4 linked regions of the Arabidopsis thaliana genome follow. The protein of the gene in region 1 interacts with the protein of each later gene in a pairwise test. Each region holds a gene or a part of one and is shown in the gene's direction. Other genes may lie near its edges. The genes, in order: BRK1, DIS1, ABI4 and ABI3.

Evidence for each region.
Region 2: the proteins of BRK1 (region 1) and DIS1 interact in a two-hybrid assay, tested with the Arabidopsis thaliana proteins (one study listed by BioGRID).
Region 3: the proteins of BRK1 (region 1) and ABI4 interact in a two-hybrid assay, tested with the Arabidopsis thaliana proteins (one study listed by BioGRID).
Region 4: the proteins of BRK1 (region 1) and ABI3 interact in a two-hybrid assay, tested with the Arabidopsis thaliana proteins (one study listed by BioGRID).

What each region holds. Positions count from the first base shown.
Region 1 is NC_003071.7:9,621,050-9,624,835, forward strand, and holds BRK1 (BRICK1), read left to right. Parts: upstream 1-1,947; 5' UTR 1,948-2,233; coding exon 2,234-2,366; intron 2,367-2,764; coding exon 2,765-2,889; 3' UTR 2,890-3,286; downstream 3,287-3,786. Other genes in the region: AGL17 (AGAMOUS-like 17), read left to right, coding at 217-300, 458-592; AT2G22650 (FAD-dependent oxidoreductase family protein), read right to left, coding at 3,654-3,786. UniProt on the Arabidopsis thaliana protein: Involved in regulation of actin and microtubule organization. Part of a WAVE complex that activates the Arp2/3 complex.
Region 2 is NC_003070.9:4,493,374-4,499,025, forward strand, and holds DIS1 (Actin-like ATPase superfamily protein), read left to right. Parts: upstream 1-1,550; 5' UTR 1,551-2,020; coding exon 2,021-2,067; intron 2,068-2,161; coding exon 2,162-2,621; intron 2,622-2,993; coding exon 2,994-3,140; intron 3,141-3,391; coding exon 3,392-3,484; intron 3,485-3,619; coding exon 3,620-3,739; intron 3,740-4,160; coding exon 4,161-4,271; intron 4,272-4,351; coding exon 4,352-4,477; intron 4,478-4,560; coding exon 4,561-4,659; intron 4,660-4,750; coding exon 4,751-4,831; 3' UTR 4,832-5,096; downstream 5,097-5,652.
Region 3 is NC_003071.7:16,795,708-16,799,457, reverse strand, and holds ABI4 (Integrase-type DNA-binding superfamily protein), read left to right. Parts: upstream 1-1,872; coding exon 1,873-2,859; 3' UTR 2,860-3,211; downstream 3,212-3,750.
Region 4 is NC_003074.8:8,995,443-9,001,717, forward strand, and holds ABI3 (AP2/B3-like transcriptional factor family protein), read left to right. Parts: upstream 1-1,927; 5' UTR 1,928-2,468; coding exon 2,469-4,148; intron 4,149-4,348; coding exon 4,349-4,441; intron 4,442-4,586; coding exon 4,587-4,687; intron 4,688-4,820; coding exon 4,821-4,867; intron 4,868-4,984; coding exon 4,985-5,061; intron 5,062-5,173; coding exon 5,174-5,338; 3' UTR 5,339-5,743; downstream 5,744-6,275. UniProt on the Arabidopsis thaliana protein: Participates in abscisic acid-regulated gene expression during seed development. Regulates the transcription of SGR1 and SGR2 that are involved in leaf and embryo degreening.

The sequences.
Region 1 (3,786 bases):
TTGTGTTTACATTGTAAACACACATAATTTGCAGATGTAAAATGCAAACGATATTTTTAGTTTCTTCTTCGGTTTGTGTTTGCATTTGCAATTTACAAAAAAATCTGTTCTTTGAGAAAAGATACTAAAGATGTTGTGTTTAAGTTTGAAACGCATTATTAATCAATGTTATCATTTCTAGTTTTCAGGTTCTTATAAGTGTTTTATCTTTTGCAGAGGAATCTTGTTCATCATGAAAACCTCGAATTGTCGAGAAAAGTACAAAGGATTCATCAAGAAAATGTCGAACTATACAAGAAGGTAAAATAGAAACACAAACTTCATTACTTCAAGTTGCAGCTAACAAATCCTTTAAATCAAATTAATCTCCTAGTTGAAACTAGACAAATCTCAATAATTAATTATTGAGATCGTACGTAGTTACAAAAGTGTGTTGTGGTAATGGTCTTGCATACAGGCTTATGGAACGTCGAACACAAATGGATTGGGACATCATGAGCTAGTAGATGCAGTTTATGAATCCCATGCACAGGTTAGGCTGCAGCTAAGCCAGCCTGAGCAGTCCCATTATAAGACATCTTCAAACAGCTAAGATCATATAAGAGATATATAACAAATTGTTCGTTCTTGATTATCTCAAAACCCTTTCAAATATATATACGTGCATATTATATATGAAGACTCGTTTGACTATGTCAATATATATGTTTTCATGCAGGAGTAAGTGTGAGTGTAATCATGTCGGAGAGCAAACCAAAGGTTTGATTTGTACGATATATACTTATATATGGTCTCAAGTGAAAGCAATGGAACAGCTTCTCGATTATATTCTTTTTAGCTTTCACATTTGGTTTTAAGTACATAATTAAGACATACATGAACTACATATATAATATATATTTTAACTAAAAAAATTGAGTGTGATATAGGTTGGTTTAGTATATAAGCTATACTTTACCTAAAGTAAAATCAGAGCTCACTTTTGTGTGTGTGTGTTTGTTTTTGTTAGTCATTGAGATTTTTAATAAAGGGAGATTCATTTGAGATGATTGCTTCTATAGTTTAGAGAAAATTTGCAAAACAAAAAGAGTATACTATATATTGTCGTTTCAGGTAAAACGATGCAAAAAGTCAGCCTAGAAATTAACGAAGTTACATGACCATGACCAACATATGAAAACTGCATTGTTTAACATATCTCTGAAAAGATTATGTTTTTGGTCGTATTAAAATAACAAAAACGAAGTAAAAAAAATCTCAGATGTGAAATCAAACTAAGAGGAGCTAGGAGAAGAAAAATAAACCCTAATTTCCTTGGGATGTAAATTTTCACCGGTCGTACAATATAGGATTTTATGTGATTCAAAATTTTAGTCCAAAAGTAGAGGGTTATAAGTTTCTCGGTTTGAATAAATTAATTTAGTGATTTTGATTTAGCGCTTAAATTTGATTGTAAACACAGTTCACTCTATTATATACTATTGTCCAATATTTTGCATACTGTAATCCACTTTTAACCTACAAAAATATTGATATAATTAGTCCGGTTTACTGCTAATTGAACAACCATTCAAAATTTGATTTGTTGTATAGACAATGAGTTATGCCTCATCAGAAATAATCACAACTTAAAATTATTCTAGTATGATGAAATATGTGTTCTGTTTTGTAAATATTATAGATACAACCTATAAATAGTTATACAAGTTACAACCAATGAGCATACCGAATAATTCACTTGACTTTAAAACAAACGTATCTTGAATTCAAAGATTAAAGATTGGTTGTAATAGTATATATGCACGAAGAACCAAGAATTGCTCAATTTTTAATTGATAGTGACATTTGAATAGAACGAAAAAGATTGAACACTAACTAAGCAATCTACCAAAATATTAAACCAAACCACATAATATCAAATATCTTAAATTATAAAATAGCCCCTATATTTCCTCTTTATCTCATAAAACACCCGTTTCTTCTTCTAATCTTAACTTCTTCTTCATCAATCACACATCATCTAAAAGAAAAACAACCTACGATAAAATTCAGAAACTTTTTCTCTGAGACACCAAAAAAGGAAGGTGACCCTCCTTCTCTAATCGATTGCTTAATCATTTCTGCCGTTGGATTGAATCGAAAAAGGGCGAATTATTTAAAAAGCTTCAGAATTTGAAATCGAAATCTGTGAGTACTGTTGTGTTTGTGGAAGAGAGAGTTTTGGGGTTTAATAATGGCGAAAGCTGGAGGGATCACGAACGCAGTAAACGTAGGAATCGCTGTTCAAGCAGATTGGGAGAATCGAGAATTTATCTCACATATCTCTCTTAATGTTCGTCGTCTCTTCGAATTCCTTGTTCAATTTGGTAAACCTCACTCTCTCACTTATTTCTCTGTGTTGGGTTTTGAATTCAATTGACTAATTTTGGAGTTTTCTCGATTTCGTATTTGCTAAATTTAGAAACTTTGTTTTAGAGTTTTTGTCAAAGTAAGGTTTTTGATGATTGGGAGATTTGATTTTGGTGGTTGGTTAGTGAAAAATTTCACCTTTTTAATTGTTGAGATGATCAGATTTCATTTGCATTTGTATGGTCTTAGATCCATGTGCTAAGAGAGATCTTTGTAATGATCTCTTTGATCTTCTCAGCTTCAATTCTAGCTGGTTTTAGACAATGTTGTGTGTGATGAAACTTTCTTTTATGAGCTAATTTGATTATCGAAGTCATTGATGTCTGTGAGTTTGTAATTTCTCTGTGTGTTTCAGAATCAACCACAAAGAGCAAGTTGGCTTCTTTGAATGAGAAGTTGGATCTGTTGGAACGTCGCTTGGAAATGCTGGAGGTGCAAGTAAGTACCGCGACAGCAAATCCTTCTCTGTTTGCGACGTGAAACACCGTAGACGATATCGAAATCGAAACCGAGCCTGATCCTTTGGCTTTAACAGAAGAAGTCTGTTGTTGAATGTGTACCATTGAATGATTCTTTCTTTCTTCACATAGCTGTGGTAGTAAGTAAACTAGTAGCTTAAAATATGAATCTATTCATAAATATGTGTATCTTTTTTCTGTCCATTAAGATCTCTTTTGAATGACAAGTCATTTCGTTGAACTCTTGAAGTTTTTGCTTTCTTCTGCTGTTGATTTATAAACTTTGCAGAGGTACCCTTTTCATCTTCTATGCATCGGATTTGTATATTCGTCTTTTCTCTTAAAGTGGAACACATGTAAAACGCTCTTGTTGCCCATTTTTTCTTTTTCATCAATGGAGGAAGAAAAAACCGAAAAAGCTCACATCTCTTTTCCTCCATTAGATTCTGTCTGCATTTGTGACTCACATTGTTTTTTTGAGTTCCACTCGGATTCATCGAGACCGACCTAATCGTCTCCACCCGTACGTACTATGAGATCACCCCACGGATGCCTACGATATCCAGGGGTCGCGGACCAACCATAGAACCAAGCCATTGTTGAAAATATTCTGTTTTACGTACCTAAACCACAAAGTTCTGTAGACTATGGATGATTGACCATTTTTAAAAAAATATTCTGAACTCAGTTTTTGTTTTGTCTGAATTGAGATTTGCTGTGTTGACCAAGCTTCCAAGCTTGAAGCTGCAAACAAGAGTGAGAACTGAGAAGTAAACAATGGTACTCTTATTGTCTGTTTTTCTTCCAAGAAGTTAGTTCAGAAGGAAGTAATTCTTCATTGCAACTTAAAACAGCTTTAGACATGAGTTTCCCAAGCCAAGCATGATAGAGTAGTCCCCTTGATCCGAGCCCTGAAAAT
Region 2 (5,652 bases), on another chromosome or scaffold:
CATCTAAAGTAATTTGATACAAATTTGATTTTGCTTCGAATATGGTTGTTTTGTCAACGGTTTTTTATATCAAATATAGTTTTTTTTCTCTTTTCAATGCAATCGGTTAGGTGGTATTTGATTTTTCCTTCAAATTGAATTTTAAAAAATTCATTTTGTTCTTGATGATACAGTTCAATTTATCTGAATTAAACAATCTTAACCATATTGAATATTAAAACATGAGTATTGTATATTTCATTATGATTACACCTCATTTACCCCCAAATCTCTTTAATCAATAAACTTGACATGATCATGAAAAAAAATCATTGTTTAAAAAAAAAAACTAAAACAATAAACAAATATTTGTTTTGATAGTTCGAATATAATACTGCTAATACATTGATGAGTATTTATAAGTAAAAAAACTTGTAGAATCTTAAAAATATATTTAGATCGTCCTTTATCAATAAAATTTGTACAAAATGCGCTTTGTAATATTTTTTCTTTACGGTTACATCTTTATATTTTATTTTTATTTTTTGCTAAAGTGAAAAAAATAGTGCATTCTTTAGAGCTTTGAAGAACGTTGGTAGATCAACAATGAGTCGTCTGGAAAACATGTCGGCAAGAGATGCTTACAGCAATGTGACTGATCTAAAAACGATAGCCAACAAATTCGTAAACGGCGAATATTAAATTGAAAAAACTAGTGAATTGAGTATCACATATCTGCGTTAACGAATTTAGTAATTTGTTGGACGAATGTAGTAATTCGTTAGATGAATGAGATCAATCAAGCCATTTAAAAAAATATATATTCATTCGCATTGTAGTTTTACACATACCACCTAACATTGACTATAAAAAATATATATGAAAAAGAAATCTGTTGCAAGGGAGACTAACCTAGCCCAACAATTTTTAAAGCTCTAGGGCAAAATAAAAATTCAGGACCTTATATTCATGTTAAAAAAAAAAATTTATATATTTGGGCATATTTATACTAAAAATTATTTTGTTTGGGTCTTTTGAAATTTTATTACCTTGAAAACAGGTCATACTTTACACTTAAATGCTAAAACATTGGGCTACATTTTCATTTTGTTATTTAAACGGACCGGTATGAGTGAGACATGCATGATGATTTAAGCTTATCTACTCAATAGGATTAGGCTGAGACTGATATGATTCCATTTTTCGAGACCGTGTGAACATAGTTCATGATAACTACTGTGTAGTAAAGTAGTAACAAGACTTCAATCTCAAGTTTTAATGGGTTTTGTTCGGTGGTTCAAGCGTCCTTATCATAAGTTTGTTTTTCTGTCTTCACTACACACATCTTAATATTGAGTTAATCCAATTAACAGTAGGCATATATCATATATCATATATCAGAACATTATTTGTGTTATGATTACCTTTTATATTATCAAAGTCCCTAGTTAATTTGGTTTGTTTACAAAGACGATTACAGTATATTATATATCCAAACAAAATTTGTAATGATGATAATCAGCCCAGTATGGTTCAATTCAATGTTATTGAAATTTGTTTGGTTTTTAAATCAGACTTGGTTATTGAGTCGGGTTGGAAAACCAAATTAACCACAGCGCATAAGGACGAAGCCAAAATTTAAAACAGTAGTTGTACATAACTTCATTTGTTTTTTATCGGAAAAATCTCACACGATAAAGTACCAGTCGACGACGGCGACTTTCTCTATGATCTGACCGTTTCGCTGAATCTCACGTGAATCTCTGATTTTCCGGGAAAATCAATTTTCTCTCATTGTCTCTCTCCCTACATTGTTTCTCATAGCCTACGAGAAATTACGTGGTAGCTTGTCGGAAACTCAACTTCCGTTGACGGAAGGCGCGAGAAAGAAGCAAGCTTAGGTTCGATCGGAAAATTCTAGGGTTCTCTAGTGTTTAAACGGTAGAGATAATCGATCTCTAATCGGATACTGTTTTGGATCTCCATTCACACCCTCTGGTGAGCTGATTTTGCTTTAGAGATCGCCGGCTTAGTTTCTCTAATGGATCCGACTTCTCGACCCGCTATTGTCATCGACAATGGAACTGGGTACGTTCAATGATAGGTTTGATTTGTTTATGCGCTTAACGTGTTCGATGAAATGCTGCAATTAGATTCATTCTTGTGTGTGTGTGTATTGCAGGTATACTAAAATGGGATTTGCGGGTAATGTAGAGCCATGTTTTATCTTACCAACAGTAGTTGCAGTAAACGAGTCGTTTTTGAATCAATCCAAGAGTTCTTCTAAGGCAACTTGGCAAACTCAGCACAACGCTGGAGTTGCTGCGGATCTCGATTTCTATATTGGAGATGAAGCTCTTGCGAAATCGCGGTCTAGTAGTACTCATAATCTTCATTATCCAATTGAGCATGGTCAAGTTGAGGATTGGGATGCTATGGAGAGATATTGGCAGCAGTGTATATTTAACTATTTGAGATGTGATCCTGAGGATCATTATTTTCTTCTTACTGAAAGTCCTCTTACTCCTCCTGAAAGTCGAGAATATACTGGAGAAATTTTGTTTGAGACTTTTAATGTTCCTGGGCTTTACATTGCTGTTAATTCAGTTCTTGCACTTGCTGCTGGCTACACAACATCAAAGGTATGTTACACATTTCTTTTCTCCAAGTATTTACGTTGTTTGCTGTGATGAAATGCTATGTATTAGCCTACTTGCTGTGATGAAATGATATGTATTTAAGTTGTTTGCTGGGATGAAATGATATGTATTTAGGCTATTAGTTGTTTAAGTTTGCTTGTAGACTGTGTGAATCCTTAAATCAAGTCATAATTATACTTTATTCAGTTTTGGTTTTAGGGACTGAGTCTCAAGAATAGGTTAGTGTAACCTCACCAACATTAGACAATTTCCGAGCTTTGTGGGATTTAGCAAATATTAAACATGTTCTCTTGTTTTTTGTTCTGTCTCGTTATGCTCGCCTCGCCTCTTAATTTGACTTACAATTCTTCTTAGTGTGAGATGACAGGGGTTGTAGTAGATGTTGGAGATGGGGCAACTCATGTTGTACCTGTTGCAGAAGGTTATGTCATCGGGAGCTGTATCAAATCGATTCCAATTGCTGGCAAAGATGTCACCCTCTTTATCCAGCAACTCATGCGGGTATGCACTAATTTATTATCTTAATATTAGTCTTGGTCTTCTTTTGTAGTTGGTTTTCATTCTTTCTCTGTGACATTTTAAGATTTTAAAGGCACAGAAGTTAAATGTGTTAAATCCAAGCTTTGAGTATGGTAGCTAGGCTTCCTGTTTATTTGTTTTAGATGTTGTGCTCATATGCTTAGAGAGGGTGTTTACTGGTTTAGATTAATGTATTAACTTCATGTAACTTCTCGTTTCAATGTTTACTGTAGGAAAGAGGTGAGAATATACCACCAGAAGATTCATTCGATGTAGCCCGTAAAGTGAAGGAAATGTACTGCTACACTTGTTCTGACATCGTAAAGGTAATCCTTAGTGGTGAATATTCAAGTCAGATAATATTAATATATACTCTTCTGAAAATTTATTACTGGCCTGTATGCTGAAATCGCTTGAAAAGAATATAGGAATATTGATAAAGAACATTCATATGGTTGCAGGAGTTTAATAAACATGACAAAGAACCAGCAAAGTATATTAAACAATGGAAAGGTGTAAAGCCAAAGACTGGTGCACCATACACTTGCGACGTGGGATATGAACGATTCCTTGGACCCGAGGTTTGTTACCATCTATCTGTTATAAAAAGTTGTAAGTTGATAAGATAACCAGAATCGGAGACTGGATATCTTTACTGGTGCATGAGTTTCTAGTATGTCAGTGAGCTGTTCATGATTTGTTATCGATTATAAGATATTTTCAGCACTCTGTTCTGATTACTGAACGGTACTGATATAAAACTATGCTCTCTCAGAAACTCAAATTAGGTAATTACTTAGTCCATTATGTTAACTGGAAGTCTGGAACTAATTCTTATCTAGTTAGAATTCAGCTGTCACTACTGGACCCATAGGAAGCTAATCTCCTTTGTATCTCTATACCAAGAGAGTAACTGGAAAGTGGAACATAATTTCCTTTATTGTTCTTGCGTTTTTGTTCTGCTATTACCGATGAGTAATGTTGAGATTTTGTGTGTTACAGGTGTTCTTTAATCCAGAGATATACAGCAATGACTTCACAACTACTTTACCAGCTGTGATAGACAAATGTATTCAGTCTGCACCAATTGACACACGAAGAGCTTTATATAAGGTTTGAAACGCCAAAGACTGGTCAGAGTTTTAAGATAATTTCCAATCCGCAATACTGATGAATTTGTGAAATCATTTCAGAATATAGTGTTGTCCGGAGGTTCAACTATGTTCAAAGATTTCGGAAGAAGGTTACAAAGGGACCTCAAGAAGATTGTTGATGCTCGTGTTCTTGCTAATAACGCTCGTACTGGTGGTGAAATTACGGTAAGAAAATTGTATGATATTCTGGAAAATAAAAGTGATAACCAGTTTTCTTAATCTGAGGTGATATTTATTTATAACCACAGTCTCAACCGGTGGAGGTTAATGTCGTGAGCCATCCTGTCCAGAGGTTTGCAGTTTGGTTTGGAGGCTCTGTGCTTTCATCAACTCCTGAGTTTTTCGCGGTATGCAAACTAGTTTAGAGATCCGCTAGTTTGAAGCTAAACCTCATGGCTTGATCGTGTTTTGAAACAAGATGTATTTTTGTTGTTGCAGAGTTGCAGAACGAAAGAGGAGTATGAGGAATATGGAGCAAGCATATGCCGCACGAATCCGGTGTTCAAGGGAATGTATTGAAGCTGCTTCATAAATAATTCACCAGCAGATTCTGTGAATGTTTGTCTGCTTTACTCCATTTCTATTACTGACTTTAGGGTTCTTGAGTACACACAGTGTAAGCTAGGCTTGATGTAGAAGTCATATTATTATTCAGACAAATTAAAGAAAAAAAGTATGTAGAAGTTTGATTTTTTTTTCATATTATTTTCTGTTAACTCAAGCATTAAATTCCACAGAAAAGTTCCGGATTATCAATCGTCTAATTGTCAAGTTATCATTTTTTATAAGCTTTTATTCCACTCAAGAGCTTAAGTTCTAGATGAAACACATGATAATTAAGTTTTGTCTACTTTATGATGTGTTTTATTTTTTATAAATTAGTTAATAATATTTAAAATTAGACATGAATAGATAAACCTTCTTTTGGGTAAAATACACAAAATCATTTTCTTAAATTACTCAAAACAAATATCTTTCATTACTCTTTGGTTTTGGAGTAATGTAAGATATTCTGTTGTTAATAATAAAGGAAAAAACTTTCATGGGAAAAAAAAATATATATATATATCTTTCATATGTTCTACAAAATACATTATTACATTTATAGCTTGTTGTATAAACGCACTAAAAAAACATGTAAAAGAAAAAAGTTTGTTAAGACAAACTGTTGACATCACGGTGAAGCTCTTCTTTCATTTTTTCTTCTTCTATCGGATAAGAAAGAGAACATCCCGAGTCTCGACGAATACGACTCTCTTCCTCCGATCTCATCAAAAACTCTTTCGCTAAAGCTCTGTTTCTGGGCGTTCAAACAATTCCGGAGTTTGTCGGATTCTCAA
Region 3 (3,750 bases), 7.2 Mb from region 1:
ATTTATTTATTTATCCATTGACATGTGAGTATTTTAAATTTCTACATAATTCTTTTTTAAGATTAATAAAAGGTGTAGTATCCAAAATCTAAATCTATCGGACGAAGTATTTGACTGAAGCCAAGTCGTCTTCCAAGAATGGTGTTAAGTGGACTAAATGAACACATATATCTATGTAATGAAAGCAGAAAAATAATTACTGTGTCTCTCTGCATCTGTATTTCTGTCCCTCCAGTGGCTGCAGCAGGCAATGGATCTGCAACACTCTCCGAGTGCGCAAATCAACTTATTTTTCTTCTCCAAAATTTAACAAGTACTACTCCAGAAATATGATTCTAGTTTTTACTTATGTCCAAAAATATGATACGTGTTGTACCAGATGTTTTTCCTCCGATCCCTTAATTATATCTATGTTTACAATTTTATTTTACGTATAAAGATAAAACATCAAAAAAATAGTATCATAAGGTGATTTCCCAACAGCTTAAATTTTTCTCTAAGATCATAATCATCAAGTATAGAAGCTTCGGTTAAGTTCAACACTAAAAGTTAGATTAAAACCAAATTAGGGGCGAATATGGTTAGACCATCTCCAATGGTCACCTCTATAATTTTCTCTATTTTAGAGGTGCCTCTATTTTAGAAGCATTGTGCTCCAATGGTCACCTCTAAAATAGAGTTTCCTCAAAAATAGAAGAAAAATTAGAGATGAATTGTAGAGATCTCTATTTATAGAGACAAAAAGTAAATATTTCTATTTCTTCCTCTATTATAGAGAAAACTCTATTTTAGAGGTGACCATTTGAACATAATGCCTTTAAAATAGAGTCACCTCTATAAATAGAGGAAAATATAAAGATCACTATTAAAAATGCATTTAGATCTTTTACTAGGGTTGTTGGTAATGGTAGATTAATTACCTTGATCCTTTTTAGTATACTTATCTGTTAATGCTTGTTAACCACTTAAATTGCAAGAGAGTTGAACAAAATTGGGTAATTCATGCCACGCTTTGTAATTATTCATTGATTAGTGTTTCATTCTCTACAATTTATGGCTAATCAGCCCCCGTTAGCCGTTATGTAATGATTTATTCTAGTTTCATTGCTTGCCAACTTTAAACGATGCTTTTAATTCTTGAACTCATAAATCATTTTCTTTGTTATCTTTGTCTACTGTTTTATTCACTTGATCTTCTTAATCTTTTAAATTGCCTATCTTTTGCTATGTTTTTGTTACAATTTAAATTGACAAGTACTTAGAAAAACAAACAAAAATGATATCTCTGTTCCATCTTAGATTATTCGTTTCTTATTTCTCTTAATATATATTTTTGAACACGCTTATTTCTCTTATATATGTTGCAATATTCCTAACCTTGGTGAATTTGATTCAGTTCTCTCTGGTTGAATCCTCTGAAATCTGAATGCCTTGGAGTGTTTTCAACATGCGAGTATTTCTCACAATTACCCATCCAATCAAAGAAAAGAACCAACTTCAAGATATTGTTATATATCGCTCATGATTTGCTATAGTTACCCAAAAGAAAGAAAGCAATTAAATGTTTTTATAATATCCTTGATTACATTCCAATGTGTAACAAGTAACTTATGACAACACAAATTTCTTCTTTGGTAGAAAACAAACGGGTAAGTAAAAAGAAAAGAAAAAAAGAAGTGAGTGAGAAGAGAGTGTAAGTATAAATAAAAGAAGCACCGCCCTAATCGACCATTCACAACGATGACATTCAAACACTCTTCAGTTTCCCTTCCTTCTTGATTCGTCCTCTCCACTATTTTTCTCAATTTCTTTAATCTCTCTCTTTCTCTCTCTACTTCCTCTTCCTCTTCTTCTTCTTCTTCTTCTTCATCTATGGACCCTTTAGCTTCCCAACATCAACACAACCATCTGGAAGATAATAACCAAACCCTAACCCATAATAATCCTCAATCCGATTCCACCACCGACTCATCAACTTCCTCCGCTCAACGCAAACGCAAAGGCAAAGGTGGTCCGGACAACTCCAAGTTCCGTTACCGTGGCGTTCGACAAAGAAGCTGGGGCAAATGGGTCGCCGAGATCCGAGAGCCACGTAAGCGCACTCGCAAGTGGCTTGGTACTTTCGCAACCGCCGAAGACGCCGCACGTGCCTACGACCGGGCTGCCGTTTACCTATACGGGTCACGTGCTCAGCTCAACTTAACCCCTTCGTCTCCTTCCTCCGTCTCTTCCTCTTCCTCCTCCGTCTCCGCCGCTTCTTCTCCTTCCACCTCCTCTTCCTCCACTCAAACCCTAAGACCTCTCCTCCCTCGCCCCGCCGCCGCCACCGTAGGAGGAGGAGCCAACTTTGGTCCGTACGGTATCCCTTTTAACAACAACATCTTCCTTAATGGTGGGACCTCTATGTTATGCCCTAGTTATGGTTTTTTCCCTCAACAACAACAACAACAAAATCAGATGGTCCAGATGGGACAATTCCAACACCAACAGTATCAGAATCTTCATTCTAATACTAACAATAACAAGATTTCTGACATCGAGCTCACTGATGTTCCGGTAACTAATTCGACTTCGTTTCATCATGAGGTGGCGTTAGGGCAGGAACAAGGAGGAAGTGGGTGTAATAATAATAGTTCGATGGAGGATTTGAACTCTCTAGCTGGTTCGGTGGGTTCGAGTCTATCAATAACTCATCCACCGCCGTTGGTTGATCCGGTATGTTCTATGGGTCTGGATCCGGGTTATATGGTTGGAGATGGATCTTCGACCATTTGGCCTTTTGGAGGAGAAGAAGAATATAGTCATAATTGGGGGAGTATTTGGGATTTTATTGATCCCATCTTGGGGGAATTCTATTAATTTGTTTTTGTGGAAGATCATATTATATACGATGAGCATCCCTAAGGTCGGTCAAGAGCATTGGAGATTCATTGTTGAGAGGAATCAAAGAGATTGCATTCTATGAGGAGCTCTGCATGCAAAATTTTGGAGGATTTTTTTACTACCTATAGAGATAAATAAGAGGGTATTTTTATTATTTTTTTGAAGATTTTTATTTTCAAGGAATTCGTAAAAGAGATTACGGTTCCAATAAAGTATGTATATGTGGAAGAGAATCGGAGGAGATGGTGGAAAGTTGTATGGGAATTTTATTGGTTCAACACTTCCTTCACAGTGTGCCTACCTTAATATATAATTATTGATAGGATATGATAATTTCTGTTTGGTTGTTCGAGTTTCAGAGGTTATATATAGTTATATTTTGTTTATCTCTGAGAATATTTACACATATCTCTATTAAGTTTTAGTAATATAGGAATCATCAATGTAGAAACTATGGAGAGAAACACGTTTTCAAAAAGTGTTCATCACTGGATGCATAATTGTTGTCGTTGAGAAGATTATTTACATTATTCGAGCTGGGTATTCTCACACCAACACTTCATATTCAAGTTTACAATTTTTTGTATCGATCATCCTTCAAAGTGTTTGGACATGATTTTGTCCGAATCCTAGCTTTCTTTGACTAAAAAGAGTTCTCCGTTTCTGTATTTCCCTTGTCCTGTGATTTCTTGTTTACTATGGTGTTTATTGGAAGTTGACAAGAAAAAATCAATTTTATTTTTTGTTTATGATTATATTTCGAATCTTTTAACAGTATTATACAAAATTTAAATTAAAAATAATCCCATATCTGACTGGGTTATACATGAATATTTCAATATTAATAATTAATTTAATTTATAATAA
Region 4 (6,275 bases), on another chromosome or scaffold:
AACTAAAGAAAAAGGGTTTTTCGATCCCAACAATTTTTAAAGTATGTTTTTGAATTTCAACAAACGACTAGTACTGATATATACATCAATGCTTACAAAAATCAAATTATCTATCTCAACGTTTACTTTTGTACGTAATTACAAGTCAATATTAACAAATATTAGTCAACTGTAACGGTTGTTGACTCAATTGATACGTGTACGTTTAGGTGGCATGTTTTTTAATAAAATAATTTTGTTTTATGTTTTGGGATTAAAAATATTTACTTTTAAAAAACTAAACCGAAAAACTGGAACCCCCAACCTCACATATTCATCACCATCGTATCCACAAACATTATCGAGACATAAATAATAATTTATAGATATATAGCAACAAATTGGAATTAAATTAATCAAACAATGTCATTTAGAATTGGGGAAATCCTAACCGACGTTATATGATTAATTTTAATTCCAATTTATGTATGTGTATATATCTATAAATTATTATTTATATATTGATGATGTTCGTGCATGATGGTAATGGTAACCTTTAAAACTTTTGAATCTCAAAACGTAAAACAACGTCATTTGGTTTGAAGAACATGCCATCTCGACGTACAAGTGTTAGCTGATTCAACAACCGTTACTGTTAATTACCATAACTAACGTTGACTCATAATTATGTACAAAAGTAAGAGTTGAGGTAGATAATTTGAATTTTTTAAATGTTAAAGTATGAACATTACTAATTGTTTGTTCAGATTTATAAAACACAGTACCTATTTTGATGTGTTAAAATGTAATCGGGAAAATAGGAATTTTCCCAAGAAAAAAAAATACACTAAAATTTTGATGTGTTAAAATGTAATAAATACAAGTACCTATTTCTTTCTACAACAGGTATCACATGATCTGCTCAATCTCATTTTGAAGGCAAGGTCGAACCCTGTTTGTAACTAAATATTTTACAAATACACTAAAAGTTTTGTTTTGTTTTCCTCATGCAGAAAAAAGAAAAGAAAGAAGAAGAAAAAAAACTCACAAAAACATACATTGTTCTACAATATGTTAAAGTAATTGTTCTAGGGTAATAAAATCCGTGTCTGCCTCTTCCACTTCAATAGGAAAGTGTAAGTTTTTCGAATCTTTTTGGCCAGATAATTTAAAACCGACCGAGGAAACTTACTTTTGTAAAAGTGACCATTTGCACATAGGAAGTAGAAAGTTGATAATTGGAAAATTTATAATATTTTATACAAAAGAAGTGTTTAAGAACCACCGCTTGGTCTCACCACTCAAATTCGAACGTATGGCTCGTGGGCACAAACTCCTGTACCAACCTTTAGATACTAGCGGCACGAGGAGACTTCTATTTTCTCTTTGTTTTTAAGTTTTTTTATCGACTTAAATATGGCTTTTTGCACCATTTAATTTCAAAACCAATGTCTTTCTCTCGAGGAACTTTGTTTTTATTTCTTAGAAGATGAGGGGAGATTTACTATCTAAATAAAATTTTAAATGTTTGTAAGTATTATGAGCTCAACAATTTTGTCAATAGTGCCACAAATTTAAACGTTTGCTTTTTGTCTTCTTTGAAAAATCAAATGCTGAAAAACTGTTACATCTCTTTTTCTTAAAAACTCTTGTCTCTCTCCTTTTCCTTCTGCTGAGGTAATTGAATGCTGCAAAGAGAAAGAGAATAACTTAAACCCAAAATTACACTTACCGCCAGAAAAAAAAAAGAGTTCAGTTTAATCTAACATATTTTATACAATACAATTGAATTATATTAGTAAAAAAAAAACTTCCATATAAATCATGGAACAAACTGGAACACATGGGCTCTCTTATTTTAATTTATTTTCTTTTTTGAGGGATTTAACCATGTTTATTATATAGTTTTATAAATATATATATACCATCTCTCCATAATTTATAAAATGAAAGAAAGAGAGAGTCTTCTTGTTGGAGTAAACCCAAACGGTTTTAGATTACTTATTAGCTGTTCATCAGTTCTTCCTCTCTAAAAGAGTAAAACCTAAACATCTCTCTCTGTTCTATTAGAACCAAAGACCAATCTTTGTGAACAAAACACATCTCGTATACTTCAGATCTAGACTCGAAAATTTTAGACCTCTTTACAATTGGTCTTTGTTCATCTGAAGTTGGAGAAAATAGTTAGCTTAGGTCGGATCTTTTCATATGCTTTGGATCCTCCTTCGTCTCTTTTGTATAATTTTAACCTTATCAAGAGTTCTTTTTGAATCTCAAAAGATTATATAGTAGTATAGAAGGTTTATATGTATATGTATAGCCAGATAGTTTATGTTGTTTAAAGATTCGATGATAGCCAAGTTGGGTTAACTTTCTTTTTCCTTGCCTCCTTACTCACATACAAACCCTATCTGTCCGTACAAAATACTAAAAACCCTAACTTTTCTCTCTCCACCAATCTAGTTTATTGTTTCATTTCCACTTCAACGATGAAAAGCTTGCATGTGGCGGCCAACGCCGGAGATCTGGCTGAGGATTGTGGAATACTCGGTGGAGACGCTGATGATACTGTTTTGATGGATGGAATTGATGAAGTTGGTAGAGAGATCTGGTTAGATGACCATGGAGGAGATAATAATCATGTTCATGGTCATCAAGATGATGATTTGATTGTTCATCATGACCCTTCAATCTTCTATGGAGATCTCCCAACGCTTCCTGATTTCCCATGCATGTCGTCTTCATCATCGTCTTCAACATCTCCAGCTCCTGTCAACGCAATCGTCTCCTCAGCCTCTTCTTCTTCGGCAGCTTCTTCCTCCACTTCCTCAGCTGCTTCTTGGGCTATATTGAGATCAGATGGAGAAGATCCGACTCCAAACCAAAACCAATACGCATCAGGAAACTGTGACGACTCTTCTGGTGCATTGCAATCCACAGCTTCCATGGAGATTCCATTAGACAGCAGTCAAGGTTTTGGTTGCGGCGAAGGCGGTGGTGATTGCATTGATATGATGGAGACTTTCGGGTACATGGATCTACTTGATAGCAACGAGTTCTTTGACACCTCAGCTATATTTAGCCAAGACGACGACACGCAAAACCCTAACTTGATGGACCAAACCCTTGAGAGACAAGAAGACCAGGTCGTTGTTCCGATGATGGAGAATAACAGTGGTGGAGACATGCAAATGATGAATTCTTCCTTGGAACAGGACGATGATCTCGCTGCTGTGTTTTTGGAGTGGCTAAAGAACAACAAGGAGACTGTGTCGGCTGAGGATTTGAGGAAAGTAAAGATAAAGAAAGCTACGATTGAATCAGCGGCAAGAAGACTAGGCGGTGGTAAAGAAGCGATGAAGCAGCTTTTAAAGCTGATTCTTGAATGGGTCCAAACTAATCACTTACAAAGAAGACGCACCACCACCACCACCACCAACCTCTCTTATCAACAATCATTCCAACAAGATCCATTTCAAAACCCTAACCCTAATAACAACAACCTAATCCCACCGTCCGACCAAACCTGTTTCTCACCTTCAACATGGGTTCCTCCACCACCACAACAACAAGCTTTTGTCTCGGACCCGGGTTTTGGATACATGCCTGCTCCAAACTATCCGCCACAGCCAGAGTTCCTTCCTTTACTTGAATCTCCACCGTCATGGCCACCACCACCACAGTCTGGTCCCATGCCACATCAACAATTCCCCATGCCGCCAACCTCGCAGTATAATCAATTTGGAGATCCAACAGGTTTCAATGGATACAACATGAATCCGTACCAATATCCTTATGTTCCTGCAGGACAAATGAGAGATCAGAGATTACTCCGTTTGTGTTCCTCAGCAACTAAAGAGGCAAGAAAGAAACGGATGGCGAGACAGAGGAGGTTCTTGTCTCATCACCACAGACATAACAACAACAACAACAACAACAACAATAATCAGCAGAACCAAACCCAAATCGGAGAAACCTGTGCCGCGGTGGCTCCACAACTTAACCCCGTGGCCACAACCGCCACGGGAGGGACCTGGATGTATTGGCCTAATGTCCCGGCAGTGCCGCCTCAATTACCGCCAGTGATGGAGACTCAGTTACCTACCATGGACCGAGCTGGCTCAGCTTCTGCTATGCCACGTCAGCAGGTGGTACCAGATCGCCGGCAGGTAGACATGCACAATCATCTTTCTCATTGTTTATTCTTTAATTTAGCAATACTCGAATAGTTTGTGTAATTGCACCACTCGTTTGGTTTGATGAAGAAGCTAAAGATTTTACATGTGTTTTTTTTGATAAAATGTGAATCGGAAGATTATACATTTGCAATGGAAATGAAATGATTTTGATCTTTTTGGTTTGATTTTAGGGATGGAAACCAGAAAAGAATTTGCGGTTTCTCTTGCAGAAAGTCTTGAAGCAAAGCGACGTGGGTAACCTCGGAAGGATCGTTTTGCCAAAAGTAATTTTTCTTCTAATTTCTTGTAGCCTTTGCTTTCCATTTTCTAAAAAAGGTTCAATGTTTGTGTAAAAATATTGTCAAGTTTTTATTTTATTTTTACTCTTATTGGTTAAGTTATATTTTACTGAATTTTTATTTTTTTTAGAAAGAAGCTGAGACACACTTGCCGGAGCTAGAGGCAAGAGACGGCATCTCTCTGGCCATGGAAGACATCGGAACCTCTCGTGTTTGGAACATGCGCTACAGGTAACTGATTATGATGCTAACATGTTAACATTGATTCTTTTTATAAAAACAATTCGTGTATTTTGTCAAAAATTGGAACTCGACCAAAATGTTTTTTCGGTTATTTAATTGTCTTCTTAAATTGGTTTTGCAGGTTTTGGCCTAACAACAAAAGCAGGATGTATCTCCTCGAGAACACCGGTACGTTTTTGAAAATGTACCCGTTAATAATTTTCCTTTCTTTTGGTTTGTTTGTTCTCTTGTAATTATTGTTGTGGACGCATACATATCTAATTTTCCTTGAAATTACGTTTACAGGCGATTTTGTGAAAACCAATGGGCTCCAAGAAGGTGATTTCATAGTCATATACTCCGACGTCAAATGTGGCAAATATGTAAGAGAAGCATCACAATATTTTTCTATACTTTTCATTAGTATTTAACTCTCATCATTACTTTTGTTGGTATTTATCTTGTCATAATTAATTGAGAATAATATTATGACAGTTGATACGAGGGGTTAAAGTAAGACAACCGAGCGGACAAAAGCCGGAGGCCCCACCGTCGTCAGCAGCTACGAAGAGACAAAACAAGTCGCAAAGGAACATAAACAATAACTCTCCGTCGGCGAATGTGGTGGTCGCTTCACCAACTTCTCAAACTGTTAAATGAAAAACAGAGACAAAAAGAAACAATATAAATATTATTATGTACCAAATAAGAAAGAGGGCAAAAGGAAAAAATGGCAGCGTACCCGAGTGTGCCACTTCTCGTGCATGCATGGGATCTTGAAGACAAATGGAGGGTCATGATTAAAGCTGTTTGGTCGGGGTCCGGGTTTTTACTCCATTTTTTGCTTTTTCTTGTCGAGTCGGTTCTTTTATAACTCTTTACTCTTTTTACCTTCAGGATATTGTAGAGATGATTAATTCTGGAAATGGTGTTTGTGTTATATTTCTGGAGAGATGATTATATAGTTCTTTTGTTGTTGTAATTGGTTAATATTACATATGTGGCTCATTTCTTGAGTCGAGCTTACATATCGTTTATAATGTGAATGTTTTAAGAAGAGTTGAATGATACAATATTTTTACACAAACATTGATAATGATAATAAAAATGATAATTAATGTACAAAATTATTTGTAAATATGGACATATGGACAATTTAAGAAGGAATTGAGATAATTAATTTTGTACATTAATTATCATTATCAATGTACAAAATTATTTGTAAATATGGACATATGGACAATTTAATGATAGTAAAAATGATAATTAATGATAATTAATGTACAAAATGATAATTAATGTACATATGGACATATGTACAAAATTATCCATATCATTCACATATTCACATTGTAAATATTTGTAAATAGAATGTTTACATATGGACATTTTAAGAAGAGTTGTTCCTTACCACTTTGATTCTATCATTTTCTTGTTTATCTAGTTAGCTTGAACCCTTTGTATTATTGAGTAACGAAAATCTTTGGAGGAAAAAAACAAGTGAGGTAGGATTATAATTTTCCTCATATAAGTGTGTTGTTTGTGATACATCATTATTCTTTCTTATTTTTGGTTAAACCCAAAAACTGGACCGCAC